Mytilus edulis: one gene and its partners. The protein of the gene in region 3 interacts with the protein of the main gene of each other region in a pairwise test. Links are inferred from orthologs where the notes say so. Each region holds a gene or a part of one and is shown on either strand. Other genes may lie near its edges. The genes, in order: iron-sulfur cluster assembly 2 homolog, mitochondrial-like; ubiquitin-conjugating enzyme E2-22 kDa-like; E3 ubiquitin-protein ligase NRDP1-like.

Region 1 (7,976 bases), on a different chromosome or scaffold from region 3:
ATATAATATTTTTATTTCCCAAATTACAGGGCGCATAAAGGGCATAAAATCCGATACAATTGATTTACATAATTGGTTAACAACAACAATAATAGAGGCATATACATATATATTTGGAATATAAGCAATTGGTCATAATCAAGCTAAAAACCACATATATATGGGAATAGAAGAATAATAAACTTATATTATATATGAATTTATTCTCAAATTATTTACTTAACTTAGTGTCAGTGTTCATACCTGATCTCTTTATCTTAAAAAAATAACTCATTTTTGCTCTTTTTTTTTTTCGTCCATTACTTACCATTATTCTCTATTGTGTACCAGTAACACTTGAAGATTGGGGACTAACAATTTATGATTTAAAATATTGCCTTTTAAATCTCAATATATATATATACTTTGCGATCCCCTGGTGCTGTTGAATATAATAGTACACGCACTATTCTCAATTAAAGGGTTCATATAGAGCATAATTATATCTACAAAGTTCATGCAATATACATCATCATCATGCACTAATATTTGCTGCATTTTATTCTCATTCATTGATGTATTTTCCTGCTCTGGACTAGAAAAAAGTGAATGTTTTAAAATCCCGTTTTAGAAGAATAATAAAATATTTCAACGATAATAGTTCTTGTAAAAAATATTACTTTATATTTTCCCTGACAGTCATAACTTTTAAATCTGACAAGACATACCATTTCATATTGAAAGTTATCGTGTTCTTATGGACGACATCAAAACATGCAAAAGATCGATGTAGGATAACAAACTTAAATCAAATAGTTTGGGGTGGGGGTTAACATTGCTGCAAGTTTTGTTAATTTAAAATCGATTTTACATATATCCATATAGGTAAATCAATTTTTCCCAAATTAAGTTAAGAGGGGGGTGGGGGCAGGGGGTCAGTGAAAAAACTATGTGAATTAAGTTTTTTTTTATCCTTCATTGAACTTTTGATGTCGTCCCTTAGCATACCAGAAAACTTACTTGCGGAAATTAAAATTTGAGCGGGACCTTAAATTAATTTATGACAATATGGCCCTTCCTTCGAGTACTATATGAAACGGTTTTCAACAACAAATATGTACAGAATAATCTTTTTAATAAAAATCTGCAACTTTAGTTTCAACATGTGCGTGTCGAGCTATCTGAAAAACCATTTCTTAAGCCTGGCAATCACAATCAATGGAAGCTTGGACCAATATGAATATTATCATGTATTAATGTATCATGTATTTAGTCCGAGATAGAACTGAGGAAAGTTAACAATACGAAAAGTACAATTCAGTATGCAATAATATTTAGTTTATGAAATTCCGATCGAAAAAAAAGCACAAAAAAAGAATCCAACATTGTTTTGCGACTTTGCCAGTCCAGAAAATTTAGTACATTTAGTGTTTTAATATAAAAAAAAAAGTAAAAACATAAAAATACTGAACTCTGAGGAAAATTCAAAAGGAAAATTCAAAATCAAAAGGCAAAATCAAAAGTCCAAACACATCAAACGAATGGATAACAACTGTCATATTGCTGACTTGGTACAGGCATTCTCTAATGTAGAAAATGGTGGATTGAACCTGGTTTTATAGCTAGAAGTTTGATGCAAAATTTAGAAATAGAAAGGTTACTTTTAAACTGTAAGTCTAGTGATAAGAGAATTAACACAACAAAGATGAGAATAATTTATTAAATAAAGTATTTATCATAATTAGTGCAGACCATAATTTATTGAAAGAAAAAGGAAAACATTTAAAAATACCTAGAAAAAGACTATGACCATCCTGCAATACATTGGAGGATGAAGCTCATTTCATTTTATACTGTAACAAAAATCTAAACTAAGAGATAACTTTTTAGGAAATGTAGTTAAACCTGGCACTATAATGTGTTATATATATATAGTAGTCTCAGGTTAAATACATGCCAGATTTTCATGATGTCCTCACGGTGTAGAAAATTGAATATTTTCCCCCATCAACTTCAAAACGGAATTTTAATATCCTTTTAAAACTTAAAACAGGTATTAGAATGAGGACATGAGCTCTTTGATTGATTTATCATAAAATATATATATGACTTAGTAGATCGTTAGATTTTTACTTGTGTATGTTTTTATTGGGATATGAAATATATCTGATATGACTTAGTAGATCCTGAGACTACTATAAAAATGTGTTATAGTACTCTCAGGTAGATCGTTAGATTTTTACTTGTGTATGTTTTAATAGGATATGGATTTCTATGGCTTTCATTTTAAAAATGTGTTTGGTGTTTGTTTGCATTCATGTAATTTGTCACAAACTTATATATGTTTAGAGTTAGTTAGTTTATATGACAAACTTTTTGAATAATTTGACTGATCATATATAAAATTTATGACCGTTATGTTCCTGTGTTGTATGCATCACTGTCTTTCGGTATTAAGCCTAAGTAAGAGCTAAAGGGATACAACTCTTGATGGAATGAAGTAAACAAAAACGAAATGACATCTCTTCTGAAAAAAGTGTCATATACGGCTTTCTGCGCAATTAGAAGACAAAATCTTACAAAATACAAGTATAAACAAGAACCTCATAACATCTTGAAGTTTAAAATGTTGCCTTGCTTTTATATATGACATTTTAGCTTATGCAACATTTTAAACTAACAATTTAACAATTTTCAACTTGAAAGACTTAGTAAACATGTTCCCTATGATTCAGTATGATATGATCTTTCTAATTTTAATGCCAAATAAGAGTTTTCCCCCAATTTCCTGGTCCACTGAACATAGAAAATGATAGTGTGAATGGGCCATCTGTGTACATGTACCATGAACGAATCCGGGTCCGTTCGCGCCCATTCACGTTCGCACCCACTCATGTTCGCCCCCTTTCACTTTCGCACCCAAAGTCCGTTCGCACCCTACATGTTCGCGCCCAATTTCAACTTTGTAATCAAGTAGTATTCTTATAAGTATTATTGTTTTCATTGTCTGAAAATAAAGTGATACAGCATTTTTTTGTGTTGAATAAATCTTAATCATGTTTTGGATAGTGTATTTAAAAAAAAAAAAATATTCCTTTCTATTTCTAAATAAAGTGGGATTCTGTCAACGTTTTATTTTGTGTTGAATAACTCTTTATCATGTTTTGGTTAGTGTATTACTATAACATGTATAACTTTGTTTCATATTGACTTGTTTCAAAATGAAGTGAGATTCTGACTACGTTTTTTTTTTTTTTTTGAGTCTTGAATAAATTTTATCATGTTTTGGTTATAATAGTGTATTGCTATATTTTATTGTTTCTTTGTTTCAGCATGTTCAGATCAAAGGGACCAAGCTGTTAAAAACAATTATCTTTTGTGTTTTTCATTTATAATCTTGAATCTTTTACTCATACCAAGCTATAAATACATTCATTATTTACACGAAAGCAATTAAAAACAACAATGATGATTTTCCAACTATTCAACTGGAATTTGAATTAAAATTGGGCGCGAACGTGTAGAGTGCGAACGTGCGAGGTGCAAACGTGTAGGGTGCGAAAGTATATTGGGCGTGAACGGACCTGATACCTACCATGAACACATTCTTATTCACCATGACGTCCATCTACATATTTTTTCTATAAAATTAGTTCTATGTCTAGATTATGTCTTCAAAAAAAATTTTTTTTTTTTAACTTGTACCTAAATGTTGCAGACCGTATGCATACTTTTTCAAAATACCCATATGGTCGGACCTTACGCATACGAAGAAAAGACATGAAAGTAAAAACATGGTATTCAGTTTGACTTTCACATTGGTATCACATCATCAATACATGGTATAAGTGTGAACCAATTGTCACTGGACATTAAGCCAGCAACAATCTATCAACCCACACTGGTATGAAGATATAAAAAAGAAGATGTAGTATCATTGCCAATGAGACAACTGTCCACAAGAGACCAAAATGACACAGAAATTAACAACTATAGGTCACCGTACAGCCTTCAACAATCATGACAATGAGAAAAGCCCATACCGCATAGTCAGCTATAAAAGGCCAGAAAAGATCTTTCAGTTATTACATGTGTGATTCTATGATGACTAGGCTCAGTTTAACAAACTTATACAATACAATACAATACAATATTTTTATTTTCAAATTTTAAAGGGCCCATTAAGAGCATAACATTAATTACAACTTATTACCTTAGAAAACTTGGCCTATAAGAAAGCTTAACCCCTTAAAATAAATAAGATTAACTTTGTTAGTTAGTGAGATGATGGTTGCATAATTTTAGATATTTCTTCTTCTTCTTCTTCCAAGTAAGGAACCGTATTCATCCTGAATGTTTTTGGTCCCGCGAAAAACTTGGCGCATTGCCGGGCAAGGCAGCAAGTCCTCTCAAAGTTATATACATTTAAAACATTCGCCAATTTACAATTAAAATTATGTACACTCTATGCTGTTCATTTCCTTCCAGAGCCTGCTTTCAGAGCAGCTCTGAAACCCTCTATCGAGTCGGCTGATGTTGTTTTAGCTGGTAGTTGATTCCAATCCCTGATGGTCTTTGGGAAGAATGACTGTCCATAGGTTTCAGATTTTGTTCTTTCTTGGTAAAAGCGGCCTATACCTCTGGTCCAGCTGTCATTGGATATTGTTGTCTATCTATATCAATAAGCCCATGCTGGATTTTAAATAGCATACATAGTCTGTTGGTTTTTCTACGTTCTTCCAGGCTTTTCCACTGTAATTGTTTAACCATGTGTGTTACACATCCAGGTGTTCGGTCTTAGTAGTTATTATGAACAAATCTTGCTGCTCTTTTTATACGACTGCAAAAATTTTAATTTTTCGTCGTATATTGCTATTACGTTGGCGTCGTCATCCTGCGTCGTCGTCCGAATACTTTTAGTTTTCGCACTCTAACTTTAGTAAAAGTGAATAGAAATCGATGAAATTTTCACGCAAGGTTTATGACCACAAAAGGAAGGTTGGGATTGATTTTGGGAGTTTTGGTCCCAACATTTTAAGAATTAGGGGCCAAAAAGGGCCCAAATAAGCATTTTCTTGGTTTTCGCACTATAACTTTAGTATAAGTAAATAGAAATCAGTGAAATTTAAACACAAGGTTTATGACCACAAAAGGAAGGTTGGGATTGATTTTGGGAGTTGAGGTCCCAACAGTTTAGGAATTAGGGGCCAAAAAGGGGCCCAAATAAGCATTATTCTTGGTTTTCGCACCATAACTTAAGTATAAGTAAATAGAAATCTATGAAATTTAAACACAAGGTTTATGACCATAAAAGTTTTGGTCCCAACAGTTTAGGAATAAGGGGCCCAAAAGGGTCCAAAATTGAACTTTGTTTGATTTCATCAAAAATTGAATAATTGGGGTTCTTTGATATACTAAATCTAACTGTGTATGTAGATTCTTAATTTTTGGTCCTGTTTTCAAATTGGTCTACATTAAAGTCCAAAGGGTCCAAAATTAAACTAAATTTGATTTTAACAAAAATTGAATTATTGGGCTTTTTTGATATGCTGAATCTAAACATGTACTTAGATTTTTGTTTATGGGCCCAGTTTTCAAGTTGTTTCAAATCAGGATCCAAAATTATTAGGGCCCCGCCAAAGGCGGGTCCCCTATAGTGATCAGTCTGTCCGTCCATAACACTTTGTGTCCGCTTCATATCTAGAGAACCATTATGATTTCATACTTTATACTTTACATGTTTATTAACCACCACCAGAGGGTGTGTCATGATATATGTACAACTTCCTAGGTCAAAGGTCAAGGTAAAAAAACTTTGGTTTCAGTTGACAACCCTTTGTCCTGTTGTGAAGATCATGTCCGCTCTATATATTGAAAACCGATATGATTTCAAAGTTTATACTTGACATGTATATGAACCAACACCAGAGGGTGTGTCATAATTTATGAACGACTGCCTAGGGCAAAGTTCAAGGATCAAAAACTTTGGTTTCAGTTGACAACCCCATGTCCTATGGTAAAGATTGTGTCCGCTCTAGATCTTGAGAGCCGTTATCATTTCAAAGTTTATACTTGACATGTATATAAACCAACACCAAAGGGTGTGTCATAGTTTATGTGCAACTTCCTAGGTCAAAGGTCAAGGTCAAAAACTTTGATTTCAGTTGACAACCCCATGTCCTATGGTAAAGATCGTGTCCGCTCTATATCTTGAGAACCGTTATCATTTCAAAGTTTCTACTTGACATGTTTATAAACCAACACCAAAGGGTGTGTCATAATTTATGTACAACTTCCTAGGTCAAAGGTCAAGGTCAAAAACTTTGATTTCAGTTGACAAACCCATGTCCTATGGTAAAGATACAATTTTTTAATGCACATTATTCACAGCGGGGCCCACAGAGATGACTCCCATCTCAATGATATCTAGTCATTTTAAGTATTGTGCAATAGCAAGAAATTTTCAATTGCACAGTATTCAGCAATAGCAAGAAATCTTCAATTGCACAGTACTGTGCAATAGCAAGAAATTTTCAATTGCTCAGTATTGTGCAATATCAAGAAATCTTCAATTGCACAGTATTGTGCAATAGCAAATATTTTCAATTGCACAGTATTGCGCAATAGCCAGAAATATCTAATTGCACAATATTGTGCAATAGCAAGAAATTTTCAATTGATTGGAGTTATCTTTCTTTGTCCAGCATAGTAGTTGAGTCAACTTAAATCATTGTTTTATACAATATAAAATTGAGAAAGGAAATGGTGAATATGTCAAAGCGACAACCACCCGACCATAGAGCAAACAACAGCCGAAGGCAACCAATGGGTCTTCAATGTAGCGAGAATTCCCGCACCCGTAGGTGTCCTTCAGCTGGCCCCTAAAATATGCATAATAGTACAGTGATAATAATATACAATGTATATTCACTTTTACTACCAACTGATAAATTAAAACAATCTTTACCATTCAGTGGGGGGGGGGGGGTTAAATTTTTCTCATTTCAGATTTCATAAAAAAAAGAAAATTTCTTCAAACATTTTTTTGAGAGGATTAATATTCAACAGCAAAGTGAATTGCTCAAAGGCAAAAAAAATATTTTAAGTTCATTAGACCACATTCATTCTGTGTCAGAAACCTATGCTTTGTCAACTATTTAATCACAATCCAAATTTAGAGCTGTATCCATCTTGAATGTTGTGTCCATACTTGCCCAACTGTTCAGGGTTCAACCTCTGCGGTCGTATAAAGCTGCGCCCTGCGGAGCATCTGGTTTGAACTTGTTCCAATGATTTAATCTTTTTTTGGCTTGATGGATCCCAAACTGTGCAGGCATATTCCACTGAAGGTCTTACCATGGCTGTATATGCTGCTGCTTTTACTGGTTTTGTGCAGTCTTTTAGATTTCTTCGGATAAATCCCAATGTTTTATTTTCTTTGCCCACAATATTGTCAATGTGTCTATTCCAAGATAGGTTGTTGCTGATTGTTACGCCTAAGTATTTGCTTTCATCAACATTGTCTTGTGTATGTCCGTCGAGTTTATATGATGTATCTCTCACTTCTTTGTTCTTCTGAGTTATTTTTATAACTATGCATTTTTTGGCGTTAAAACTCATTTGCCATTTATTCTCCCATTCTTCCAATGATGTTAAGTCTTTTTGTAAAAGGTCGCTAAGAATGAGTCATAAACTCTTTCTCTATACATCCATATCTTCATTTCTATACATTGTATTAGTTTGTTGATTTGCACAGGCACTTAGAATAAGAAAAACTTACGCAGAAAGTGTCTGTTGTTCTGTGAGAATATGGAAACATCACCTTTTTTACTTTGAAAGTTAAAAGGAATATGATTTGATTATTTTACTTATGGTATTTTCTCATTTTCAGAAATTTGTCTGGAATAAGATATGCATCAACTAAGAATCAGACTGAACAAGTTGAGAGTGAATCATCGAGTGAAGCCCTCCGTCTTAGCCAAAGTGCAATAAATGTG
Region 2 (7,976 bases), on a different chromosome or scaffold from region 3:
TCATTTTGCACAAATAAAGAGTCTATGGCAGATATGAGCACGCTGATGTGCACACTTTGAATGATGCACTGCCAATTTAACAGTTTACATCCAAACATCCAAAACAAAGTAAAGTTTAAAATCGTTTTTTCATCTAATGTCATTATCATAGGAATGGCCATCTGATTACCATAATTGCCTTTTGTGACTTAGGTCTTAAGGGATTAAAATCGGGATCAGATATAAAATGTCCGGCTGGCTCAAATGTTTTTTGGAAGCCCTGATATAAACAAATATCAAACCCACAACAAGGACCTACCAGTAACCTTTTTTTGTTATTACCAAATAGTTTTTTTGTTTTTTTTTTTTTAACTCAAAAGCTTATTTCCACATTGCAGTTTTAAGAATAAGTGTTGACAGTAAGAGGCTTGCTACCATAGAAAATTAACTATTTAGACATCTCAGCCACTGACAGGTTGGGAACAAACCCTCTACATGGTGATTATACCTGTATAGAGAGATAATCCTTCTATAGAGGGATAAAATTGTTCCCATCCTGACTGAGGCTTAAATAGATATATATGTTCAAAACTTGAAGTAATGGAAAATGTAGCACTGTTCTTTAAAAATACTTACTTTATCTTTTTTGTCCTGTCTAGCGTATGGGAAACATGGAATGAGAGCTGTGACACGACACGCAGATGCTATCTTACAGGCATTTATCATGATCAACAATTCCATCAACATATCATTCACCTCATCACAACCACTCTGTACAATGTACACATCTTCTCCACGCACAGATTCTCCAATCTCAACACTGAAAAAAAGGATTGATATATAATTACTGTTTCTCAACAGACAAATTGTATAATCTCAACACTGAAAAAAGGATTTTCTCTCTGGATATCATAGTTTTTGTGATAATAGGCAACAACAAAAAAAAAAAAAGAGGCTCCAAAGAACCTGTTTTGCACACATGATATTTTTATTTACAATTAATGCATGAAATAATGCAACCATTATACTTTTTCTCTAGTTTTAGAGGTACTAGTCAAAAACTGCATTTTCCCCCTACGTTCTATTTTTAGCCATGTCTACCATGTTGTTTGGCAGGCAGGGTCATCGGACACAATTAAAAAAACTAAATACCCTATTAATATTGCTTATTTGTGGCCAAGTTTGGTTAAATTTGTCTCATTTGATTCAGAAAACTTTTTTTAATAGATTACAAAAATTTTTGAAAAATTGTTAACTCCTTATGTGGTCAATTGACCATTTTTGTCATGATGACTTATTTGAATGTCATACTTTGCTGAACATTATTGCTGTTTACAAATTATCTTTATCTATAATAATATTCAAAATAATAACCTAAAACAACAAATTTTTTTTCAAATTAATAATTCAGGGGCAGCAACCCAACTAGGGGTTGCCTGAATTGTCTGAAAATTTCAGGGCAGATACATGTAGATCTTGACCTGAGGAACAATTTTATTTCACGTCAGACTTGCTCTAAATGCTTTGGTTTCAGAGATATAAGCCAAAATCTACATTTTATCCTTCATATAAAATTTATTTATATTTTTTAATAAAAGTAGAGCGATTGAACAAGGGCAAACAGACTCTATGCTTAATAGTGTAGTATAGGAAGCTTGACCTTGCAATTAAATAACAGGCACACATGGTCCCAAAATGAGTTGTTTTTATATTGAAAGAACATTTAATTTATTTCTATCAAAGATTTCTTTTTTTGATTTATTTGTGTATGTAACATAAATTCTTGAGGTGGTGGAAATTTGAATATTGGGGAATATTGTCCCAAGTAGAATTCTATATTTGCATGAGCTTGCGAATGCAATATATGTTCTACGAGGGACAATATTCCCCAATATACACCTTATCGCTATTTGTCCGCCATTACTGGATATCACACAGGTTCCCGTAAAATTTTGACGTCATAAAACAAAATGTCTGACGCCACAATGGAAAAGTGATTGTTATTGACGTCAAAAGTTCAAGCGGCTGGGTCAGCCGGGATTAGCGATAAGGTGTATTCATGCAATAACCCTTTTATTGTATAGCAATATAATATTAGAAAGTTAAAATTGGTTTAAACTAAGATTTTGTCGTTGATGACATCATTAATTTCAAAGATTTATTACTCTAGTGCAATATTGGAATTTATTGCACGCTAACTTTTGGATACTTTCTGTGGGAAATATTATATTGCTATGCAATAATGTGATATATTGTGTATTGACATTTTCCTCTATGTGAATGGAGGTGTGCCTTGATTGGCAGAACTACGTTAACAGAATCAGAAACAGAATATGGTCGAAAGAACTTGATGAGAATAGACCAAGGGCGACCAGAAACCTATGTCTAAGCCATGATCCCACATAATTTTACTCACATTTATAATGAGAAAATCATTGGAAATGCCTAGTAATTTTTTTAAACATGCAAATTAAAAACCAACTTTCAAATCTCATCATGTGTAACAGCTGTCTCACATAAGAAATATCAACTCTAAAACCTAATTTTCAACGAGTGTCACTATTCAGGTCAAATAGTCTGTTGGTGCCCCATGGGCATGGATACAAAATAATGATAAAATCACTCATGATCACCTGCATTCACCGTTGCTAAATTTTTTGGTAACAACTTTGCCTTGTTCTATTCCAAGACGATCGCAAATTTTCTGTGCAAGATCAACATGAGAACTTCCACTAAAAACCTTAATGTTAGGCATTCTTCCGAAGTCTGTCAAGCTTTTTGATTCAGAAATTTGTTTACGAATACCCAACATTAAACACGTTTGGCCTCAGGATGCATGTGAGTATTTTCATTTCTACGCTTGGTTGTAACGGATGTTACTGTAAAGCGTGAACATGATTAAGACAACTTGACCCTAAGATTGACCTTATATGACCTAATATATTTCAACGAAACGTAGAAAATAGTTAACTTCAATGAAACATTAGCGGAATTATATATAATTCTATCTTATTTTATCGCAAATATATTTAATTCAAAAATTTCCGTGATTAAAGTAAAAAGTTCAGTTTTGTATTTAATGCGCAACTTTCCATGTGCTCACTTCCGGAACAAGCACTGTTGAAAAAAACATTGAAAGTGTTACTCATCCCGTTTAAAAATTAATTCTATTGATTTATTTTGCCCTTAACTTGTGATTGATGTAACATTTTGTCTTGTAAATATGGCCAATATTGCTGCTGCTCGAATACAAAGAGAATTCAAAGAAGTGGTTAAAAGTGAAGAGGTACAGACTGCTATGTTCTTTGAGATATATTCCATCTATAAACAGCAGATTTATTTCATGATCACACCGACTCCAAAAGCCAATCTTTATCATGAAATGGTTTCAATCTAGAACCATATATTTACTGATTTCATCATGGACTTATCATTTCCTTATCAGGACAGAAGTGAATATGAGTTATGACCAAGACATTTTAACAGGACAACCTGAAGGAGACTATTCCTAGTTACCTAATTTCCTGATTGATGGGTAACATCCCCAAATTCATGGTTAATAGCTCAGATCACTCTTGTCATTGCCATTGATGCTAAAAGTTGTGAATTTTGGTCTGATGGCAAAATTTCTACATCACTATTTAGTATTATTCCCAGTTTAATAAGCATAATTATTTCATACTCAACTTTAAAAAGAAGATGTGGTATGATTGCCAATGAGACAACTCTCCACAAGAGACCAAAATGACACAGAAATTAACAACTATTAAGGTCACCATACAGCCTACAACAATGAGCAAACCCACACTGCATAGTCCGCTAGAAAAGGCCCTAAATGACTTATAACATGTAGATTGATAATAATAATAATAATAATAAATTCTTTATTTAAAGAGGGTAAACTCAGTTAGTTACAATAAACTAATCTTCCTCACCAAGGCAGAAACCAATATGGGGAAATTGAGTTGACTGCAATAAGGAATGTTCCAATAATCACCTGTACAGGCTTATTTTGTGTGTGACTTGCTTTGTAGAATCTGGGACGGTTCACCTTGATTTATGCTCACTCTGGGTCTGACTACCCCAATACCAATGAATATACACATTTTATTTTGTATTCTGTATCATGTCACTTAATTTATAGTATAGAGGTTTATTTAAAAGTTAACTTTCACACATAATTTGATATTCATTTTAAACAAAACAGCATGCATTATGAATAAGCATGATAAGTAAAAAAATAAAAGTTACGTGATTAGCATGATTAGTGCAAGCTATCAAGGTTAAACTCTGAACAGGTGTAAAAAGCTTATGCATCTATTTCCCATACAGAAACATGATAAAAGAAACTTGCATGTAAATAAATGAAAAATCCCAATGTCCTACATGTCCTAGCTATATACAAACAATTTGAAGTACAGACTTTATTCTGGCAAACTTTACAGTTAAACTAATTGTTCTGCGCCTCTGGGTGCATGGGATGTTTTGATTGACAAATAAAAAATGCTGTTGTTGTAAACAGTCTTTTATCATTTGAACTACTCCTGACAGACATGAAACAATGACAACCACTAAACTACAGTAAGCCACATATAGAATTTGGCAGGGTTAAACATGTTTGGAGGTGCCAATCCTTCTCTAACCCAGGACAGCAATGTAACTGCACAACACAGAACAAACTTAACAAATAAAACTAAAGGGAAAACAAATGAGAAAACAAAAAACAATAACTACTCAATTACAGGCTACTGACAGTCTTTTGAAACATGTTTATCAGGCATATAAAGAATGTTGCATGGTTAAAAAGGTGCCAATGCAACCCTCAATTAACCTGGAAAAGTAATGTACAATGTAACAGTGCAACATAAAAACAAATACTTAAAATCAGTTGAAAAAGATCTAGATCTTATTACAGTGTTGAATTGCATTTGGCAACCTTTTAGAATAAGATATTCAACATGTTCTAAGGATTAAATAAGTTTACCTGTTGTGTTTCTGCACTCTTACAGTGAAAGTTACTTTACCTAGACTCAAACAAATATTTTGAAACTTAAACACATTGGTTTTTACCACCAAACACTGGTCATGTTCAAATTTGAGTGGCATCACTTGCACTGTTCATGTCCCTTTATAAATGAAAAAAATGTAATTTGTTGTATATTTACAAGCCCTAGACATCTGTCCTATGGATATATTCTTCATTTATTTAAGTTTAACAAAAATAACATACAAGTGGAAAGTGATAATGAGTAGATTTTACCTTCTTACAAATATCTAACATACATGTATAACTAAATGCGTTTATCTTTTATAATCCAGGTGGAACGCTGTAAGATAAAAGTATCACTGAAAAATGATATGTATAATGAGTTAGAAGGGACGATAGCAGGACCTCCCGACACACCATATGCTGGAGGAACATTCAAACTAGAAATTAAAATTCCAGAAACATATCCATTTAATCCTCCTAAGGTAAGCTGAAATATTGACTTGGACACTATGTATTTTATCATTTACTATGCCAAAAACAATGCTCATTTTTGATGTGTAATAAAAGCTGAACATTAATAAGATATCATTGCTCAGGTTTTCTTTTGCAATTTACATGAATACTTTAAATACCAATTAGTCCTAGGGATAAAAATGTATACCTGAGTAACCTCCATTGTTAAACATTTTATAACAGAGTTACATGTAAAAAAAAATATCAAATTAACTAACTAATCATATACTAATGCAGTGGTCTCGCTAGCCCAAAATAGAAGGGCGCCGCGCCCTGGGTGCCCTCAGCCGCTCCCTGGGTGCCTTCATCCGCGCCCTTCTGCCCTGACGTCTTTTTCCAAAATTATCTTGTGCCGTTTTGGTAAAATTTTGTTTCATCGATTTCTGATCTCCAAGTTAATTACATATATGACCTGTGTGATTGCCCCCAGGTTAATCATGTCATTACAATCAATTACAATGATAAAGACTTCAAAGGTGTTAATAACTAGGTAATTTAATTAGGACAATGTATCTTTTTGTCATACTTTTGATGAATGTGTCAGCGAGTGTGGTGTGTTTAGCTTGGGTCGTTATTTTCTTATTTTCGATCTCCAAGTCACAATGGAAGAGCGTATATAAATGAAGACTTTCATGGCTTTAGAATTGAATTTAAGTCATCAAAATAAAACTATGCCTTTACAGAAATGCCTTCCATCTCAACTTGTTAGCGACAAGCACAGTTTTTAATTAACCCAAACGTGGTGGAAATTGATTTTGGAGTTACTTCCCCTGTTTTAGCTTATTACAAATTTGTGCTCTAAAAATATTATCTAGTATCAAAAAAGGAATAAATTACCAATTGAATATATAATAACATAATAATGTTACCTTAAAGATATTAACTGTCTTTGAACATATTAAAAAATATATATTGCAATTTCTACTTAATAATTATACTTTTAGCAATCCATGTTCTAAACATTGTTAAATTAGTAATGCTCTCAGTTTCACATCTTATGATGTATTAAAAGCTATAATTCCTATGTAGATAAAACATAAAACACATATTCTTTTGATAATGGGTAGAGTGAAGTTAAACTGTAAAAACATAATATGTTGATGAAGATGTACTATATCATTCATAACTACACAAACATTGAAATAAAGACTATAGTTGAAAAGCATCTTTATTTAAAAAAAACAACATATACAGTAAAAAAAAAAAAGAGATTCATTACCTCGTGATACACACAGAAACGTAGACAAATAAATGAGCAGTGCCTTTTCTTATCATAAAAAGTGCCCTGCCCTCCACTGGCACCCTGCCCCTTTTGATTTCTAGCTAGAGCACTGTAATGTACTGTGTATATATGCATTTCAGGTATCAGTCATCCTTATTATTAAAGATATAAACCTAGGAAGATGTTGACTCTCATTTATTAACCATAAAACTGAAAACATGTTCCTCTTGATTTCTTATTTATAAATTTACAATAAACTTGTACAATAACATGTACCTGAAATTTTATTATTTGAGAGATTTTAGGCTGGGGAATATTGTCCAAGCTAGCCCATAGAGAAAAAAGTTTAAATTTATTCCCTGTAACTAACATAGGACACTGTATGGCCTGCAACAATGAGCAAAACCCATACCATTATTTGGCAAAAATTTAACAATTGAATTCTAATGAGAAAACTAATGGCCTGAAGTCTCTTTTGTGGTTGAGTATATTAATGGTAAACAAATCTTTTTTACAGGTAAAATTTACTACAAGAATATGGCACCCAAATATTAGTTCTGTCACAGGAGCTATTTGTTTAGATATTTTAAAAGATCAGTGGTGAGTTTTTGTGATTAAAAGACCTGTTGTATTAATAAAAAAATTGAAAGTAACTGAAAATGTGCATTAAGTCGTTTGTGAACTTTTGAAATTGAATGCCAAATTCGATCTTTTTATGCCCCTGCCGTAGCAGAGAGGGCTTAAAGTTTCACCCTTGTCGGACTGTTTGAACTTACCAACATCCTAAATTGGCTTACGTTTTCCAACTTTAAATTGCCTCAACCAAATGTTATGAAAGTTCAAAATTATACACAAAGCTTATACTGTCTAGAGTTATGCCCCTTTACAAATGAAAAAAAATGCGGAATATTTCAGTTCCTTTCTCTAACTTAAGTTTGCCTCAACCAAATGTAATGAAACTTAAACTCAATGCTTATTTATACAAAACACAGATTAAGTTTGAATTTCGGTGGCATCACTTTTACTGTTCTAGAGTTGTACCCATTTACAAATGGAAAAATTGATGAATTTTTAATTTCAGTCCCTAACTTTAGTTTGACTGAACTGAATGTTATAAAATTATATATACAATGCTTATTACCACAAAACTCAAATGAAGTACAAATTTGGCCAGTTTCACTTGAAGTCCTTGAGTAATGTCCGCATATAACGTTATATGCAAACGATCTTCCACGTTTATTTACCAAATTTTGCAACTCACAGAAAATAGAG
Region 3 (7,976 bases):
CAGTTCATCCGATGGGCAATAAACCAATTAACAGCCACGCGGTGTTGGGAGAGAATCTTTGGAGGAAATTGGGAGTAGAATCCGTGATTCGCGGTGTCACACCGCTACACTCGGAAATCGGTGATAAAAGTTCGCGATTACAAACTCTCTGGGCGTACTGTAAATAAATAAAAAAAGTTTTGCCTTATCTCTGGAGTAGCATCTCTTTTAAAAATACTTTTTTATTTAGCAAATAATACCTGTATGACTTTATTTCAATAGTTTATTTTACAATGTTATGTAAAATACTGTGTTGTATCAATTATATATATGCTATGTGTACATGTATATGCCCCCCTGGGAACCTAACTTGAAAAATAAAATTAATCTTATCTAACAATGTACCTTGGCTATTAACCAGGTTTTTGACTTTCTAGTTCAAGAGATACATTTGCAACAGTCAGCAGGAAGACAAGTCACAATACCAGGACACATAAATACACAGAAATACATTTTTTGGCAGCATTCATTTAATTTTAATATAAAGAATATTTCTAACTGAATCACATATTCTTTATTTTGACACATACCTGTAGGGGTTCTTCTAAAACACTGCTACAGATAGGACATATCAGCTCCTCGTCAACATCGCCCTGAAATCTGTTTACTTCATATCCCATCTTCCTGTAATTGAAATATTTCATATTATTAGCATTGCTCAATTTACACAATTCATTATATGTATAATAAATGTACACAAGGTAGTTCCAGAATTCCAAAAAAGGATTTTCCAATGTCAGTCTGACATTTATTATCAACTCTTTTTCTTCTTGTGTTTACAATAAAAAACAGTATCTCAAAACTTACATTTGTGTACTGATTTATGTGGATCTTCTTCCTTATTGACAGTACTTAGCTATATCTTCCCAATATGACCATGATGACAGTAAACAAACATTGTCATCGAGTCATAAATTGAAAAACATGATAAAGATTAATATCATGATAATTCTTGAAAACCAGTGATCTTTTTAAAAAAAATGATTTTAAGTACATGTGCATTGTCATTAATAAAATAGATGCAAGACAAATATGATCTAGTCAAATATAATGTAAGTACTACTTTATTTAAAAGATATGGAGCTCCAGATCTGGACCCTACATGTATAACATAAATTACATAAATAAACTTAACAATGAGTAATTTTGCATAGGAACCATTACAAAGGATCTTGGTGCAGCAACATCATAACTGCAAAAAATATGTGCTTACTCTGAACATGCTGAAGTTGAACAGCAGAGAGCGCAATTTAAAAAATCCTGACATTGCCTAGGGTCTGGGAATAACCCTAAATATTTTTAGAACAAATCTTGCAAGAGGAAGGTGATTTCAAGAACTGGCGAGCCCTAGCCTGAATCCTGCATTTAAACAAATATAAATTTAAGTACCTTAATAAATTACCATGAGCAACAGTGTACCATACAATTGTAAGAGGAAAAGCGTAGAATATATAAGAGACAAGTTGTGTCAATTATGACCCTAGGATCAGGATCAAAACTTTTCAAGTTACATGCTGTAAGTGTGTAACAGGAGTGAAAGTTGTGATGTTTAGTTTGTATATAAAACTATATAATTCCTAGCATTTCCCATCTTGTTTCCTATTTTCCCTGGTTCTGAGATATTAGTCCTATAATAATTAATTCCTTAGAAATTCTGATGGTTTATTAAACTATTGATTACATCAATATTGTCCATACATGCCATACACTTTAGATACAATTCAGTGGTTGACGTTCTTACCATAAATATTATTGTTTCCCCAAGGGTTTTCTAGCAGCTGTCAGTATGAAGTATTAAATCGGGGTTCTCTTGGGACTAGGCACTACCCACTAAAACACCTGACCGGGCTCGGGACCAAAGAAAGTGTCCCGACTGGAAGTACAATATAATAGTTAGAACGTCAATCACTACAAGTCAAGTGTCATAGACTCCTAATAAGCAATTCAATATATATCAAACGTCAATGAAATTAAATTTTAAAAATCTAAGCTTGTTTTTAGTATCCCATTTGTTTGAGGGTGGTAATCACTAATGGGGGTGCCTTCATGACGAAATTGTTTTTAGGCAAATGACGTAAACAGTAATATTTGGTGCATGACGATTAAATTTACATTTTCTTCAGACGATAAAAATTATCAATTGATATTGATGATTCACGTTTAATTTGTCCAACAATTGACGCTAACGATAATTATACATTTGTTATGTGAGACCTCTGACAAATCACAATCAGAATTTTTGACAAATCACAGTAAAAATTTTACCAATTTGACAGTAACGGTACATGAAAAAGACCGTTTTACGCCTGACAGTAAATTAAAGGGCATATAATTACTACCCCTAGTATTCGATCCAGTACAGTGCCAGAAGATTGGAAACAAGCAAACGTAACAGCAATATTTAAGAAAGGAAGCAGATATGATGCTAGTAACTATAGACCCGTCTCACTCACCTGTCTATGTTGTAAATTCCTGGAACACATCATTGTCAGTAACACCTTGAAACATCTAGACAATCACAAAATACTTACCAACTGTTAACATGGTTTTAGAGCAAGACGAAGCTGTGAAACTCAACTCATCACGTTTGGCATGAGCTTGCATCAGCTCTAGACAGAGGAGAGCAGATTAATATGGTTATCCTTGATTTCTCTAAGCATTTGCTAAGGCCTTTGATCGTGTCTCACATACATGTAGACGGCTGCTCAACAAACTACAGCATTATGGAGTTACAGGACAAACACATAAGTGGATTTAATCGTTCTTAGCCAAACGTACCCAACAAGTCATGGTTGAGGGAGAATCTTCAGAGAAAGTTCCTGTGGTCAGCGGAGTCCCCCAATGGACTGTACTTGGACCGTTACTATTCCTCCTATTCATTAATGACTTAACTGACAACATAACATCCAACACACGACTATTTGCAGACGATTGTATAGTATACAGAACGATAACATCTACTGTTGATACTAATGTAGTTACAAGAAGATCTTAACAAACTTGCAGAATGGGAAAAAACCTGGGGCATGGACTTTCACCCACAGAAATGTAGTGTACAATCTACCACTAGATCACGTTCACCAATAATACACTCATACACGCTTAAGGGACAAGTGCTAGAAAGATCAAAAAGTACCAAATACCTTGGAGTCGACATTGAATCAGACCTCTCCTGGAAACAACACATCAATAGCGAAACCAAGACAAATGCATATGTTGCAATGGTCAGATCCAACTTAGACTACTGCGCAACAGTATGGAATCCACATTAAAAAGAGCAAGTAAAAAAGGTTGAAATGGTCAAGCAGCCGCTATAGGAACACCAGTAGTGTGGGCAGCATGTTAGAAGAACTAGACTGGGATTCATTGGAAAACAGAAGAGTCAAATTACAGCTTACATTACTCTACAAAGTTGTTAATGATCTTGTGGACATACCATGCGACACGTACTTAACACCAATGTCATCGAGAACAAGATCATCACATACAAAGAAGTTCCGGCAATATTCAACCAAGACTAATGGCTACAAATACAGTTTTTTCCCCAAGAACAGTGACAGTTAGGAACACACTACCAGCAACTGTAGCTGAGGATCCCTCCTTGGTATCTTTCAAGAGGGAGCTTTCAACACTTTCTATCTAATCTGTGCATTCCCCCATTTGCCAAGTAAGTCAAAATGATGGACTGGAGCTGTGCCGGCTGGGATTATTTTCCCTGGTACCCCCACGGAAGATATTCTTTGGTTATCTTACAAAATTACTCTTTTTCTTGCGCCCACCAGAAGCGTTGACTATTGGTCAAGTTTGACAGATCAACTTGGAATGTAGATGTACCCTCATTTGTTTGTATTGGGAATATTACTTGCACATAGATTTTTTCGAAAGTCATTCACTGTCAAAACAATCCATGTATGCTTTGAGGGAAATATTAGGATATTGTAGTTCCGATATTGAGACACTTTCCGATACAGGTAGTTATTCTTTGAGGACTTTGTGTCTGTGATTTAGGGTTTGGGAAACCACCGTCTCCTGGTTCGGCCTACTTCGACAAAGGAGTCAGGCAGTATAATTGGGAAATTTATAATTAAAATAATAAGTGATGTGTTTATTTTTGCTTGAAACCAATTTTACCAGTTCAAATGAAGGCAAACTTCTGTAATAGTGGATAATCAGTGTCTGTTTTTCTTTTCATGATGTCGCCATATTTTCATCAACTTCCTGCAAGAACAATAACTCTGCTAAATCAGTAAGTTTTTTTTAGCGGGAACTTCAAACTCGGGTCGTATTATTTTTTACCCAAAACTAACTTATGTTTTAACTTAGTTTCATTTATGTATTAAATGCATTTGTAAGTCGTTGGACAAAAGTGAGTACCCACTCAAAAAATGTCCTATCATTTCAACTAAAATCGCACCACCAAACGGTGTATTTAGGATTTTGCTATATACACGGGTCATAGTCACAGGGTTGACACTGACTACTAAATTCAATCATTGTCAAATTGTTCCCTATTGTAGTATTTTAATTAGTAAGATAATAATACGAATACTAAAAATATGGACCTAAAATGATAAGGCGTTTATGTACAGTTTCGGTTAATTTGGTAGCGGGCATGACGTAAAACAGCGAATCAAAGAATTCAACTTTATTTATAACTAATGTAGGACAATGCTGTTGATTAAAAAATACTCCATTCCAAGACCTTTTATTTTCCAAATAATTAATATTACAAATAATTGATAAGTTCCAGGTCGACGGGTTCAAACAGAAAGTAGAGGAAACTGTGTATCTTATAATCGGCAGTACTTTATATATCATATGACAATACTAATACTAAAATAAGGCTAACGCATAGTTATATACTTCAATTCAGTCAAGGACCCGCGATTTCACGGGTGTGTTCTAGTATGATAAATGTATATTCTTTTCCCGAAACCCCCTTTCTCAGTTCGTCTAAATCCTGGATCCGCACCTGGTGACTGCTATGACTATGATCGTCCAATGCATATCTAAAAAAATAAAACATGTAAATATGTCCACTACAAACCAATCGCCTATGAAACAAGTATTGGAGATTTTGTCTTTTTTTTCAATTATATTCGTGCAAAACAAAGAACAAGCTTTACGAAACTTTTTGTCCACTACGACCGAAACGGTTTTGTCCACTACGACACTCATCAAAATGTCCACTGCGTAACGTGAGTTGTACCTTCATATTGCCATATATCATAACTTCCTTTTAAATTTACCTCTTCGCTCATTCCCATATTTTGTGGCATTCCTAATAGTTCTTGGGATTTTTTTGTATTATAACATAGTTCGTGTTTTCCCATTTACAAATTTCTTGAAGCTGGTTCACCTTTCAAATTTTATGATATAATAGTATGTAGCTGTTTTCATTAGAACTATTTTAAATAATATAAACAGAAATGTCATAAGATGTTGAAACGTGATTAATTCATCACCATAATTTCATCATATACTATCAGATATACGTTTTAGTGTCAATATAAAAAAAACACTATCCAGTTACGATTATCTTCTCATTTTTAGCTGCTTTATCTTCTCATTTTTAGCTGCTTTTCTCACCACTTGGCGTCCGTCGTCCGTCGTCGTCGTCGTCCGGCGTCGTCCGTCGTCGTCGTCGTTAACAATTTACATTTTGAACTTCTTCTAGAGAACCACTGAATGGAATGGAACCAAACATGGCATGAATGTTCCTTATGAGGTGCTGACCAAGTGTTGTTACTTTGTAGTCGATCCATCATCCAAGATGGCCGCCAGCGGGGGACTTAGTTTAACATAGGACGCTATGGGAAATGCATACAAATGACTTCTTTTAGAGAACCATTGAATGGAATGAAACCAAACATGGCATTAATGTTCCTTATGAGGTGCTGACCAAGTGTTGTTACTTTGTTGCCGATCCATCATCCAAGATGGCCACCAGCCGGGGACCCAGTTTAACACAGGACCCTATGGGAAATGCATACAAATGACTTCTTTTAGAGAACCACTGAATGGAATAAAACCAAACATAGCATGAATTATCCTTATGGGGTGCTGACTAAGTGTTGTTACTTTGTAGCCGATCCATCATCCAAGATGGCCGCCAGCGGGGGACTTAGTTTAACATAGGACCCTATGGGAAATGCATACAAATGACTTCTTCTAGAGAACCACTAAATGGAATGAAACCAAACATAGCATGAATGTTCCTTTTGGAGTGCTGACCAAGTGTTGTTACTTTGTAGCCGATCCATTATCCAAGATGGCCACCAGCGGGGACTTAGTTTAACATAGGACCCTATTCGAAATGCATACAAATGACTTCTTCTAGTGAACCACTGAATGGAATGAAACCAAACATGGCATGAATGTTCCTTATGAGGTGCTGACCAAGTGTTGTTACTTTGTTGCCGATCCATCATCCAAGATGGCCACCAGCCGGGGACCCAGTTTAACACAGGACCCTATGGGAAATGCATACAAATGACTTCTTTTAGAGAACCACTGAATGGAATAAAACCAAACATAGCATGAATTATCCTTATGGGGTGCTGACTAAGTGTTGTTACTTTGTAGCCGATCCATCATCCAAGATGGCCGCCAGCGGGGGACTTAGTTTAACATAGGACCCTATGGGAAATGCATACAAATGACTTCTTCTAGAGAACCACTAAATGGAATGAAACCAAACATAGCATGAATGTTCCTTTTGGAGTGCTGACCAAGTGTTGTTACTTTGTAGCCGATCCATTATCCAAGATGGCCACCAGCGGGGACTTAGTTTAACATAGGACCCTATTCGAAATGCATACAAATGACTTCTTCTAGTGAACCACTGAATGGAATGAAACCAAACATGGCATGAATGTTCCTTATGAGGTGCTGACCAAGTGTTGTTACTTTGTTGCCGATCCATCATCCAAGATGGCCACCAGCCGGGGACCCAGTTTAACACAGGACCCTATGGGAAATGCATACAAATGACTTCTTTTAGAGAACCACTGAATGGAATAAAACCAAACATAGCATGAATTATCCTTATGGGGTGCTGACCAAGTGTTGTTACTTTGTAGCCGATCCATCATCCAAGATGGCCGCCAGCGGGGGACTTAGTTTAACATAGGACCCTATGGGAAATGCATACAAATGACTTCTTCTAGAGAACCACTAAATGGAATGAAACCAAACATAGCATGAATGTTCCTTTTGGAGTGCTGACCAAGTGTTGTTACTTTGTAGCCGATCCCTTATCCAAGATGGCCACCAGCGGGGACTTACTTTAACATAGGACCCTATTCGAAATGCATACAAATGACTTCTTCTAGTGAACCACTGAATGGAATGAAACCAAACATGGCATGAATGTTCCTTATGAGGTGCTGACCAAGTGTTGTTACTTTGTAGCCGATCCGTCATCCAAGATTGCCACCAGTGGGGGACTTTTGAATGAAATTAAACATGTTCCTTTCCTTATAAATGAGGTGCTGACCAAGTGTTGTTACTTTGTTGCTGATCCATCATCCAAGATGGCCGCCAGCCGGGGACTTATTTTAACATAGGACCCTATGGGAAATGCATACAAATGACTTCTTTTAGAGAACCACTGAATGGAATAAAACCAAACATAGCATGAATGTTCCTTATGGGATGCTGACCAAGTGTTGTTACTTTGTAGCAGATCCATCATCCAAGATGGCCGCCAGCGGGGGACTTAGTTTAAAATAGGACCCTATGGGAAATGCATACAAATGACTTCTTCTAGAGAACCACTAAATGGAATGAAACCAAACATAGCATGAATGTTCCTTTTGGAGTGCTGACCAAGTGTTGTTACTTTGTAGCCGATCCATTATCCAAGATGGCCACCAGCGGGGACTTACTTTAACATAGGACCCTATTGGAAATGCATACAAATGACTTCTTTTAGA

What was found.
Region 1: the proteins of E3 ubiquitin-protein ligase NRDP1-like (region 3) and iron-sulfur cluster assembly 2 homolog, mitochondrial-like interact in binary tests that used the Homo sapiens proteins (3 or more experiments, as listed by UniProt). The link is inferred for Mytilus edulis from reciprocal best matches to the Homo sapiens genes RNF41 and ISCA2.
Region 2: the proteins of E3 ubiquitin-protein ligase NRDP1-like (region 3) and ubiquitin-conjugating enzyme E2-22 kDa-like interact in binary tests that used the Homo sapiens proteins (3 or more experiments, as listed by UniProt). The link is inferred for Mytilus edulis from reciprocal best matches to the Homo sapiens genes RNF41 and UBE2K.

What each region holds. Positions count from the first base shown.
Region 1 is NC_092346.1:1,250,763-1,258,738, reverse strand, and holds the start of iron-sulfur cluster assembly 2 homolog, mitochondrial-like, read left to right. Parts: upstream 1-2,434; 5' UTR 2,435-2,494; coding exon 2,495-2,568; intron 2,569-7,870; coding exon 7,871-7,973; intron 7,974-7,976. UniProt on the Homo sapiens protein: Involved in the maturation of mitochondrial 4Fe-4S proteins functioning late in the iron-sulfur cluster assembly pathway. May be involved in the binding of an intermediate of Fe/S cluster assembly.
Region 2 is NC_092351.1:24,259,888-24,267,863, forward strand, and holds the start of ubiquitin-conjugating enzyme E2-22 kDa-like, read left to right. Parts: upstream 1-2,884; 5' UTR 2,885-3,202; coding exon 3,203-3,265; intron 3,266-5,298; coding exon 5,299-5,451; intron 5,452-7,221; coding exon 7,222-7,304; intron 7,305-7,976. Other genes in the region: ribose-phosphate pyrophosphokinase 2, read right to left, coding at 616-799, 2,613-2,791. UniProt on the Homo sapiens protein: Accepts ubiquitin from the E1 complex and catalyzes its covalent attachment to other proteins. In vitro, in the presence or in the absence of BRCA1-BARD1 E3 ubiquitin-protein ligase complex, catalyzes the synthesis of 'Lys-48'-linked polyubiquitin chains.
Region 3 is NC_092357.1:19,895,823-19,903,798, reverse strand, and holds the start of E3 ubiquitin-protein ligase NRDP1-like, read right to left. Parts: upstream 4,287-7,976; 5' UTR 4,171-4,286; intron 664-4,170; 5' UTR 660-663; coding exon 570-659; intron 1-569. UniProt on the Homo sapiens protein: Acts as E3 ubiquitin-protein ligase and regulates the degradation of target proteins. Polyubiquitinates MYD88. Negatively regulates MYD88-dependent production of pro-inflammatory cytokines.